3 linked regions of the Neurospora crassa OR74A genome follow. The protein of the gene in region 3 interacts with the protein of the main gene of each other region in a biochemical or structural test. Links are inferred from orthologs where the notes say so. Each region holds a gene or a part of one and is shown on either strand. Other genes may lie near its edges.

Region 1 (3,823 bases), about 2.6 Mb from region 3:
GATCTGCTTGGCGAGCATGGTCTTGATACCCTCGGTGTTCGGCATCAAGTCCCAGATCTTGATGCTGTGAATGAAGTCGGTGGCCTTCTTCCACTCACCAGCAGCAAGGGCCTTGGAGGCCTGCATGACGTGATCCCTGGTGTTCTCCGGAGGCCCGGTAAAGATCTGGCGTTCATGGTACTCGAGCATACGGCGGTAGGTCTTGCTGATGATCCTCTTCTTGACATCGGGCGAAGAACCGGTTTGGGCGAGCAGAGGAATCTCGAGGAGCATGCTGCAGGTAAGGTAGACGCACTCAAGGAGCTCGAGGTTGATGTGCATGTGGAAGGGAAGCTGGCGCTGCTTCTCGAGGCGCTCCTGCTCAGGGGTGACCTGGCTGTAACGCTGGATCATGACGCCCTGAGCAAGAAGCTCCTTTTGACGGCCACTGCCGCAGATCTCCTGGAGGGTGTTCTGGGCGTCGTAGACGAGACCCTTGCGGAAAGCGCAAAGGCCGACCTGAACGAGGGTGCGGTTGTAGAGAATCTGGGTGGCGATGTCGAAGTTGGCGATAGTCTCCTGAAGATGGGAAGTGAGCATCAGGTCGCGAGACTTGTAGTACTCATCGTGCAGAGCCAAGAAGTAGATCTGGCAAAGCATGGCACGGGCGCGGATGATGCCCTCGCTGTTCTCGAACAGGTAGTTAGAAAGGATGTTGATGAGCTTGCCAGCATCGCCGGATTGGCTGCGGGGGGTAATTTCAGAATCGGCCTCAGCAGAAACCTGCTTCCACGCGTTCTCCTCGAGGATCTTGACGACTTGGGCGGGCTGAAAGAAGATGATTAGCAAAGACGGCTGAGTATTCCAGCATTAGCTCTATACATACCTTGTAGTAAACATGGTCCAGACGCCTCTGGATGATGCGGTTCAAGCTCTCCTGGGGAACCTCGAGGGAAGCATCCTTGCGGAGGTGCTCGTAGTAAAGAAGACCACGGAAGATGGTGTTGTAAAGAGAGCCCTCATCGGTTAGCCTGTCGATGTACTCAGAGGTGTGAGGATCGATGGCTTGGAGGGAGCGGGTGAGCTCGTCATCGAGACGCTCAATGAGCGAGACAACGCTGCCGGGAACCTTGAGGTACTTCTCACCCTCGGGGATGGTGGGGAGCTTGTCATCATCATCCCACTCCTCAGCGCCCTCAACAACAACATGGTCCTTCTCCTTCTCGAGGATCTCCAAGAGAGAGGCAAGGTCACGCTCAGCGGCCTTCCACTGGTCCAAAGGCATCTGGGCGGCGCCACCAGCACCAAGATCGAAGCGGGCAGAAATAAGGGTCTGGAGGACACGGATCTTCTGGTAAGGGGTAATGGGGACGACCTTGTTGAGGGTCTCCATAACCTTGATCTGCTCGAGGCGGTCGGTGTTCTTCTTGCCGCGAGACTCGATAATGGCGCGGAGGTGCTTGAGGATGCTCTCGGGGGTGTACTGAACAACCTTGCCGCGCGAATCGACCGTAGAGAAGCCCTTGTCGTCCTCTTCCTGCTGCTCAGCACTGACGACGGGAGCCTCGAACCGGACCTTGGAAACAACCTTGGGCGCGGCAACCTCATCATCCGACTCCATGAAAGCGTCCGCATCCTTCCTGTAGGCATCGATCTGGGTCTGGTACTCCTTATTGTTCTTGCGGATGCGCTGCTTGACGGCGTTGAGACCACGGGCATTTGTCGCGTTCATCTTCTTGGGAGTGACCTTTTGCTTGGCGAGAGTCTCGTTCATGAAGTCCTCAAGATCGGCAATGGCCTTGATGTAGGACTTGGGCGCCTTGCTGCCATCTTGGAGCTTGACGACCTGACGGTTGAGCTTGTCGAATTCTAAAGCGGGGAGGGGAGTAAGTATCGGTGCAGGACATATCGAGGGTGTATGCATGCATGAAAGATATACGAACCGTTGGCGATAAGACTCCAGTCGTTGATCTTCTGGCCGTTCTGGATCTGGCTGATGGTGGACTCGAGTTCGTCGAAGCGCTTGTCCTTGGCGCTCTTGACCTTGGTGGTGGCTTCATCGTCGCTCTGCTCTTCCTCCTCCTCCTCGGACTCGTCGTCGCTCTGCAAGAAACGGGAGGCACCCTTCTTCTTGGTTCCTTCTTCCTCGTCGCTGCTGGACTCCTCGTCGCTCTCCTCCTCGTCAGACTCCTCCTCAGACGAAGACTCGTCCTCGGCCTGAACCTTCTCCTCCTCCTCCTCCGAAGTGTAGACCTCCTCCTCCTCGGAGCTGCTGTCGGTGGAGCTGTCGTCACCGCCGCGGAAGAAACGAGACATGGTTGCGGTCTCTTTCGATAGACTCGGAATAAATATGCGGGTTCCGGGGGTATGGGCGCGATGCAGAAGTCCGGGTTACCGGTATGGGTACTTGGAGTGGTGGACGGAAGTGGTGATGGTCCGGATGGTTGGCAAAGCAAAACCCGGCTGCGGCGAGGCGGACAGAGGGGTCAAAGAATTAATTTTCACTGAAAGGCCGTTTTGGTGGGGGCGATTTGGGGCTTAGCGAATCGAGCGGAGCTGTTTGGGCCTCGAGCGCTGTAATGATTGGGTATGACTTAATCCGAGCAAGGGGTGTGGGGGGAGAGGATACTTGCTCCGCGGGGGGGAGGCTGAACTTATGAGCTGAATGTACCTGCTTCCGCTTGGAGATCGCAGGACGGGATTCCTAGAAGATGAAGATAAGGTCTGAACCTTGCAGATGTTCGCATGAGGGATCTGTCAGAGGAACGGGTTTTTGTGTATACTTTGGCGAGCGGAGCGAGGGAACAATATCAAGCATTGCTTTGTCAGGCCTTCACTATGAGATTCAACACCTGTCGTCTGGGTACTTGGGCGCAAACAGCCAGCCAGCTGATGCCCCACCTTCAATGTATCAGCTACCTGAACTGATAATGTATCACTATACTCGGTTACATGCATCTGAGACGTGCTGTGAGCTTGTCAAGCCAGATCTACCACGTAACGGGGATTGCGTATCGAAAGTTACAGTACGTAACAGGAGACGTTTCGCCACGAAGTCGAGAAGTGACAGCCCAGCCTGCCCAGTCGCTGCAGGCAACCAACCCCAGGCCCTCTTTCACTAACTGGAGTGGCGGGGACGCTACCGGGCTGCAGCTGCCAACAAGCACCTGCACAGCGAAGAATCCCGCTGCCAGGTTTCCCGTTTTGCGCGCCAGGACCTGGACCGCCCGCCCTGACCTCTGAACTTTATCGACCGCCCACGCAGCTGTCGCGAGGCTGTTCAAGTTTTTCGTAACGAGGCCAACCTGCCAACGTCAACGCCAGCATCCTGGCGCCACCAAACCACACTTTCACGAATACAACATCCACCTCTCCATTCTCAGCTTGATCGACCATCGCCGCGATTTGGTGCGAGGTCGACCTACGCCCATTTCCATCTAAAACCAATGGGAATCTAATATTTGCCAGTCCTTTTTTCTCTTCCTCAGCGAGACAGGCCTTGGAACGACGCACGCGGACTGCAAACCGCCATCGCGCGGACAGGCGACTTCACGGTATCCAGCCTTCTATCCATCTCGTCGCCAACGCCGACTGGTACACGCTTCTGACGAAGACGATTACAACGAAACAACCACATAAACGTCAACAAAGCTTCATCAAGCAGAAATCGAAAAAATGTCCTATCCGCCACCACCACCTCCTCCCCCCGGCTGGGGCGCTCCTCCGCCGCCATCAGCACCTCCGCCGCCGCCGCCTCCGTCCTCTCTCCCACCTCCTCCTGCCCTCCCAGCACCGCCGCCGCCTGGGTTCTTTCCACCAACCGACCCTCATGTTGCCAAGTTCG
Region 2 (3,800 bases), on a different chromosome or scaffold from region 3:
AGAGAAGCGTGTTGGTGGCCGATGTAGTTTTGATGTATATCGAGCATATTCCCAGCAAAATACACTCAAAACATAACATGATCCTGTAACGCTTGCACAGCTGTTGCAGTTACTCCCTGCCTCAGTCCAAGATCACGGAGGACAACATTCGGGCCACTTGGCTCAACTCTTCACAGCGCTATTATCCCGAGACTGAGCCCTAGTTGAACCCTTATTATCCCAAGAGCGATGAGCCTCACCTTTCGTGAAGATATCGAATAACTTGACGGGAAAGGGTCGAATCCAGGAGAAGACACCTCGTGTCCTACCTTTTCGCTCCACAGTCAGGCATTGGCAGCAGGTACGACTTTGATGACGCCCTTAACCAAGCTTCATAGAGTTGAGACTGTGGCCATGACCAGCATCGTGGGTGCTCCTCAGAGTTGACGACGACAAGCAGACTCGGCGTTGTTGATGATGGATCAGCTTATCGACCCGGAAACGTTTGTATGTACGTCGAAGGATGCCGGTGTCAATGGGAGAGGCCGTTGCAGAGTAACGATTGTTCTCAAAGAAAGAAACCGGATTCAACTCGCCGATCGATACAATGTACCCGTTCTCAACGTTCAGTTGATATAATTCTCAGCGTTGAGTTACCGTGTACGCTGTGAGTAAGTTTCTGCCGACACAGACGGGACAGAGGGTTGGATAAAAGTGTAGATGGCGAACTCTTGATAGGAGAGAGGTTCCAAAAGTCACCTCAATGATGTTGAAGCTGAACCGTGACTGAGCTCTGGACTTTAGCACTACACTTACTTGGTCCTTATCGCGCTCTTATCGGCCCTTGTGGGGCAGGCGACGGTCGGGCTAAACCGAAAACCGTGCTTAGTGGGGCAGCGGCAAAGGCGGGAAGGGTTGGGCGCACGCAGGGCAGGTTCGCAGAGCGGAATGTGTGAGGCTCTCGCCTTGTTGGTCGCAGCTGGCAGCGGCAGCACAGGAAAATACCGACCTAGCACAAGCCAAATACAAGTCAAATATCGTCAGAGTCATCCACCAGGCAGGCAGTTTTTCTTCTCAGCCTTCCTCCAACCTTCGCTGTAACCCCACTATTTTGGCAGGTCCAGTTTTACTACCTCTACCGTCCACCAACAACGTCCGCTATCACAAATATCGCGAGTCCCGTTGCGGAGACAGTAGGACACCCACATACATACCCACACCAAGGAGCAGGGTCTAGAAAAGTACACAGCAACTACCAGGCATACACCACCCACTACACAGTACACAGCAAGAGGGGTTGCTTCACCGAAAGCGAAAAAATTACTGCCCCGCGACACATCCATCCATCGACTTGACGACCCAACCTAACTCACCTCCACACCTCACCTCCATCCACCCACATCCACAATCATGGCTACCAACGGCGACAAGTTTGGCAACGACATCGTCGAGTCCGACTCGGGCTCCGACAACGAGTCTCACGTCGACCAGCACGAGTCCGACAACGAGGTCGAGGCCAAGCCGCGCAAGTCGGCCCTCAAGAAGGCCCCCGCCCCCGTCGTCCAGAGACCTCCCCTTCCTCCCCAGACCGATCCCAAGGACCTCGACGTCAAGACCCTCAGCCCCCTCACCCCCGAGATCATTGCGCGACAGGCCACCATCAACATCGGCACCATCGGCCACGTCGCCCACGGCAAGTCGACAGTAGTAAAAGCCATCTCGGGCGTCCAGACGGTCCGTTTCAAGAACGAGCTCATCCGCAACATCACAATCAAGCTCGGTTACGCCAACGCAAAGATCTACAAGTGCGACAACCCAGCATGCCCTCGCCCGACATGCTACAGGAGTTACAAGTCCGAGAAGGAGGTTGATCCCCCTTGCGAGCGCGAGGGTTGCGAGGGCACCTACCGTCTGTTGCGCCATGTCTCGTAAGTTGTTTAACATAACATCATTTGCGCCAATGAATGACTGACCATGTGTCTCCTCCTCCCAGCTTCGTCGACTGCCCTGGTCACGATATTCTCATGAGCACTATGCTTTCAGGTGCCGCCGTCATGGACGCCGCTCTCCTCCTGATTGCCGGAAACGAATCCTGCCCTCAGCCCCAGACCTCCGAACATTTGGCCGCCATCGAGATCATGAAGCTCGACAAGATCATCATCCTCCAGAACAAGGTCGATCTCATGCGCGAGGAGGCCGCCAAGCAGCACTACGAGTCCATCCTCAAGTTCATCCGTGGTACCGTTGCCGGAAAGTCGCCCATCATCCCCATCTCGGCCCAGCTCAAGTTCAACATTGACGCCATCAACGATGCCATCGTCAACACCATCCCCGTTCCTCCCAGGGATTTCTCCATGGACCCCCAGATGATTGTCATTCGTTCCTTCGACGTCAACAAGCCCGGTGCCGAGATCGACGAGCTCAAGGGTGGTGTTGCCGGTGGTTCCATTCTCCACGGTGTCCTCAAGCTCGGCGACGAGATTGAGATCCGTCCCGGTATCGTCACCCGTGACGAGAAGGGCGACCTCAAGTGCACTCCCATCTTCAGCAGGATTGTCTCCCTCAACTCCGAGGCCAACGACCTCAAGTACGCCGTGCCCGGTGGTCTCATTGGTGTTGGTACCCGCATCGATCCTACCCTTTGCCGTGCCGATCGTCTGGTCGGTTTCGTCCTCGGTCTCAAGGGCCGCCTCCCCGAAATCTACTCCGAGATCGAAGTTAACTTCTACCTCCTCCGCCGCCTTCTCGGTGTCCGCACCGCCGACGGCAAGCAGGCCAAGGTCGACAAGCTTGCCAAGAACGAAGTCATCATGGTCAACATTGGTTCCACCTCCACCGGTGCCAAGGTCTCCGCCATTAAGAAGGATGCCGCCAAGCTCATCCTCACCTCCCCTGCCTGCACGAGCATCGGCGAGAAGGTTGCCCTTTCCAGACGTATCGAGAAGCACTGGCGTCTTATCGGTTGGGCTACCATTGCTGCGTAAGTTTTTTTCTTTTCTATTTCTTTACCCCATAACTTATCACCACTGAATAACCACTAACAAAAAAAACAGCGGTGTCACCCTCGAGCCTTCTACCTCTTAAGCGAGCGACCAGAAAATATCCAAAGTTTATACATCGCTTGATTAGGAGGAAAATTAAAAGGTTGTTAATTTTTGGTTGCTCTAATGATGAATATCCAAAAAGTCGTTGGAGGATGATCAAAGAATGGAAACTTGGGCGCGGACACGGAAGGAAACGGCGTAGCGTGGGGAAACCGGGACCTGTGTTTCTAAAAACTAGCCTTGTGAAATTTGTACATGGTCTTATTTTTATCCAACTTGGGGCCGAGGACAGTAGAAAGACTGGTCATACGATTCGTTGAAGAAGATGAGCGAGGAATGTTGTGAAAAGAGGAACTCGTGAAGAGAAGCGCATTATCGGACCATTAGGAGTTTTTGTACAAAAAGTTATGTTTGGTACCGACGTACTTTGGGTTTACCAAGTAGTGGTAGAGGTAGAGAAGATGCCATTACGTTGATTTTGTCAAGGTCCGACGTACTTGGATTGAGTTTATTAGCCAGTGGTGATGATAAGAGTAAACTTGAAAGAGTGAAGTAGAGAAGATAAATACATTGATTCCGCCATGAGTCTTCGACGTAATGACCATCTTACCATTATACTAGGCTATGGTAATGGCTCGGATAGATGGAAAGAGTCCAAGAATATACCTAACAATACTCTTCATGGGACACAGTCGAGTATGTATCCGTACGTAACTCTATTCATTTTTCTCTTTCTAGACCTGATAGTCTATCATACCTATCACAATTCCCTCCCCC
Region 3 (3,600 bases):
TTGAAGTTTGAACCGATCGGTGGGCAGTAGGTGATGGTACAGGGGTCTTGCGGGATGTGTTTTAGACGGCTTGTATTACAATAGATGTAGCTGTAAGTATAGATGTTTGACAGTCTTGGTGTCTTGCCAAATGGCCACGAAAGGTCATCAAGAGATTTAGACAAGTTGTTTGTTTGCGAGCTATGAAAGTATACATGATACCTGCAGCCAAACAGATGCCCCTGGCTTGAGAATGAGAGACGCAGAGGTGAGAGATGCCGTCCCTGAAAGAAACCGTACACAATACCTAACGACTTAGGTGCATAGTAATTGCCTGTTTGGGGGGGCGCTTTGCCGGATACAGATCTACCTAGATATTGGTGCGGGCTGGTTCTACACTAGCTTGTCGCATGAGTCTAGTGTACATACCTAGAGGTAGTTGACTTGGTTAAGCGTTGATTGATATTGCCGCCTTCCCTTGACAAAACATATCGCGTGTGTTTCGGATTCTTCCCGAATGCCGCCCATTTTTCACATCCCCGTAACTCCGAAGTTTCCCAAGGAGAGAAATTGGCTTTCCCAGACAAGCTGTAATTGTTGTGAGACACCCAGGCACACGGCGGAGAGGGAGACCGTCACTTTCACTTGACCGACAACTACAAAGGCCTCCTCCGCCTGGCTCGGTTACTGAAAGTACAATGAACCAAAGTGGAACTGGTCTCTGGTGTGGATGGATGGACATTGCACAGACACAGGGAACGCCCCCATCTGCGTGGATCTTCTAGTGTATACCGGCTGGTCATCAAAGAGTCCCGCCTTTTCATCCGGCCTTCTGTGTCCAGGTGCCTTCTGGCCACCGTCCGGCGAGTCAGCTTGTTGCAAGAGGCATTCCTTGGGCCGGAACTCGAGCATCGAAAGCAGAGGCGTGGAAACGCCGAGTGGATGAGGGGCAAAATGGCATCAAAATCTTTCAAGTTCCCTAACTTGCCATTCGGAACATACGCCATTGCGCGTCCGTCCTGTTGCTGTGCTGCCCGTTGCAGTGGGCGGGGAGATGGTAAGCAGGTAGGAATGGAACGCGACGGGACCTTCTTCCATTGTCGGTGTCGAAACGAAGTGTGTGAAAGAACGAACTGCACGCAGTACCTGCACGGCAACTGGTGTTGCCTGGCTTGGAGAACGGACACATGTCTCGGGTACTTTGCCCATAGCCCGCTGGTGGTGGTGATTACCTGCCAAACAAGAAGTACCCTAGACTTGCTCTGCCATGAGCCACAGGTACTACACTAGGTAGTGTACAGTACATGGGGGGGCTAGCCAGGGCACCACGAAAATCCTTTGGCCGACAAATCCTCTTGCTTGCTCGTCCAGTGACTGCCCGCCTTGTTGCCCGTGCCCGGTTTGGCTCCATTCTGCAGCACCGATCCACATCCACTTGCTTTCTCGTCCTTTTTTAAAAACTCTTGCTTGCTGCCTCTTTTTTGCCAAACTAACCTCAACTTCATTCTACCCATCAACCGCCATCAGCAGCGACATCGTCCTTGAATCTATCCAAGACCACAAAGGCGACCGGGCTCTCTGTCCATCTGTCCATCAACTCCACCTCCCCCGGATTTCGGGTGCCGCACCACGGAAGTGAAGTGAATCCACTATCCCAGCAGAAACCCACACAAAGTCACTCGACTCCATCCGCTCCGCTCCGTCAAGAAAAGGAAGCCCGCTCGTCACAGAGGGAGAAAAAAAATTTCGCTTGCCTCAAAAGCCATCCTCTCCCGCCCAGCTTTCTGTTCCAGCACCGCCCAGGTTCAGAACAACAACCACCACCAGACCCAACATAAGCATTTTGCGCGACACAGCGTTGTTTATGTATCAGCACGACCAGCACGCCGTCTTCCGACACTCTCCCCCCGTCAAGCTGCATTTTCGCATATCGCGGAAACCCTGTAGCTTCCAACAAAGTACCGACGGTTGAATCGCCATTCCCACGGTCGTCTGCCAGCGTTAATGCCTACCTTCGACTTCGTTAACCACACGGTCTACCCTATGTCAACTCAAAGTACTCGTCAATAACTGACCCCTTTGGCTCGTCTCGCCTCTCGATCTTCCTCACACGCTCTCCGTGCAACAAGAAGCCTCGCTTTCCACGACATCGTCGACCAGTCTACTAGTCTGCCCTCGTTAGGTATCGTCTACCAGACTCCCAACAAACTCCAACAAAACAATACTACAAACATCATCCTGTTTCGCCGTCAATACCGCCAAAATGGGTGCTCTTATCAACGTTCGTCGGGACAACCCCGACCCCTTCTACCGCTACAAGATGGAGCGTATCCAGACCAAGATTGAAGGCAAGGGTAACGGTATCAAGACCGTCGTTGTCAACCTCAGCAGCGTTGCCCAGTCCCTGGCTCGTCCCGGTGGCTATTTGATCAAGTACTTTGGTTTCGAGCTTGGTGCTCAAACCAACATTGATCCTCCTGATGACCGCTGGATCATCAACGGCTCCCACGAGGCCGCCAAGCTCCAGGATCTTCTCGATGGCTTCATTGCCAAGTTTGTCCTCTGCAAGAAGTGCAAGAACCCCGAGACGGTTGTCCAGATCAAGGACGAGAAGATCACTCTCGACTGCAAGGCCTGTGGCCAGCGCAGCAAGGTTGAGCCCCAGCTCAAGCTGACCTCCTTCATCCTCAAGAACGTCCCCAAGAAGAGCAAGAAGGACAAGGCCGAGCGCAAGGCGGCCCGCAAGGCTCGCCAGAACGGCGGCGATAAGGAAGGTTCCGGTGACGAGAACGGTTCCGACCAGGCCTCTCCTGCCATCGAGGATAAGAACATTGAATATGCTAGCGACGATGATGAGCTCACTCGCAAGATCAAGTCTGAGGCTCAGAGCTTGCAGTTGGGCAAGAGAGAGGCTCCCAAGGAGGAGGAGTGGGCTGTCGACATGAGCGAGGAGGCCGTCCGTGCCCGTCAGCAGAACCTTCCTGGCGAATTCAAGCAGAAGCTCGTCCTGAATGGTGAAGAAGACGAGGAGGAGGAGGGTGGAAACACCGTCTACGACCAGCTCGGCACTTGGATCGAGGATGAAGCCAAGGCCAAGGGTGGCATTAACAATGTCGACGATGTCGAGATCTACCTCAAGGCCAAGGAGCTCGGCATTGATGCCAAGCACCGCACCGTCCAGGTTCTTGTTCAGTGTCTTTTTGACGAGAACATTGTTGCTCAGATCCCCAAGCGTGCTCCTATGCTCAAGAGACTCGTTACCTCCGAGCGTCACGAGAAGGCCCTCCTTGGCGGTACCGAGCGTCTCCTTGCCGACCTCGGCAAGGAGTCTTATGACAAGATTGTCAAGATTCTCCAGCTCTACTACCACCACGACCTCTGCTCCGAGGAGGTCATCACCAAGTGGGGTAGCAAGGCTTCCAAGAAGTACGTCGATGGCTCTACTTCCAAGAAGATCCGCAAGGCTGCTGAGCCCTTCCTCACCTGGCTCGCCGAGGCCGAGTCTGAGGAGGAGGAATCTGAGGAGGAGGACGATGAGTAAATCATGTCCCTCGCCACTGAGGATACTACTTCCGTTGCCGCTTGATGCCTAGTCTAGCTTGCTCTTTTGTGTTGTTTTGA

What was found. The genes of interacting proteins can lie anywhere in the genome.
Region 1: the proteins of NCU00366 (region 3) and NCU07831 form a complex in vitro, tested with the Saccharomyces cerevisiae proteins (6 studies listed by BioGRID). The link is inferred for Neurospora crassa OR74A from reciprocal best matches to the Saccharomyces cerevisiae genes TIF5 and NIP1.
Region 2: the proteins of NCU00366 (region 3) and NCU02810 form a complex in vitro, tested with the Saccharomyces cerevisiae proteins (2 studies listed by BioGRID). The link is inferred for Neurospora crassa OR74A from reciprocal best matches to the Saccharomyces cerevisiae genes TIF5 and GCD11.

Annotation. Positions count from the first base shown.
Region 1 is NC_026503.1:1,003,914-1,007,736, forward strand, and holds the start of NCU07831 (eukaryotic translation initiation factor 3), read right to left. Parts: upstream 2,603-3,823; 5' UTR 2,296-2,602; coding exon 1,923-2,295; intron 1,849-1,922; coding exon 866-1,848; intron 808-865; coding exon 1-807. Other genes in the region: NCU07832 (pre-mRNA processing splicing factor 8), read left to right, coding at 3,655-3,823. UniProt on the Saccharomyces cerevisiae protein: Component of the eukaryotic translation initiation factor 3 (eIF-3) complex, which is involved in protein synthesis of a specialized repertoire of mRNAs and, together with other initiation factors, stimulates binding of mRNA and methionyl-tRNAi to the 40S ribosome.
Region 2 is NC_026501.1:9,046,690-9,050,489, forward strand, and holds NCU02810 (eukaryotic translation initiation factor 2 gamma subunit), read left to right. Parts: upstream 1-975; 5' UTR 976-1,389; coding exon 1,390-1,907; intron 1,908-1,972; coding exon 1,973-2,959; intron 2,960-3,032; coding exon 3,033-3,063; 3' UTR 3,064-3,523; downstream 3,524-3,800. UniProt on the Saccharomyces cerevisiae protein: As a subunit of eukaryotic initiation factor 2 eIF2, involved in the early steps of protein synthesis.
Region 3 is NC_026503.1:3,590,881-3,594,480, forward strand, and holds the start of NCU00366 (eukaryotic translation initiation factor 5), read left to right. Parts: upstream 1-1,357; 5' UTR 1,358-2,242; coding exon 2,243-3,520; 3' UTR 3,521-3,600. Other genes in the region: NCU11030 (hypothetical protein), read left to right, coding at 1-30. UniProt on the Saccharomyces cerevisiae protein: Catalyzes the hydrolysis of GTP bound to the 40S ribosomal initiation complex (40S.mRNA.Met-tRNA[F].eIF-2.GTP) with the subsequent joining of a 60S ribosomal subunit resulting in the release of eIF-2 and the guanine nucleotide.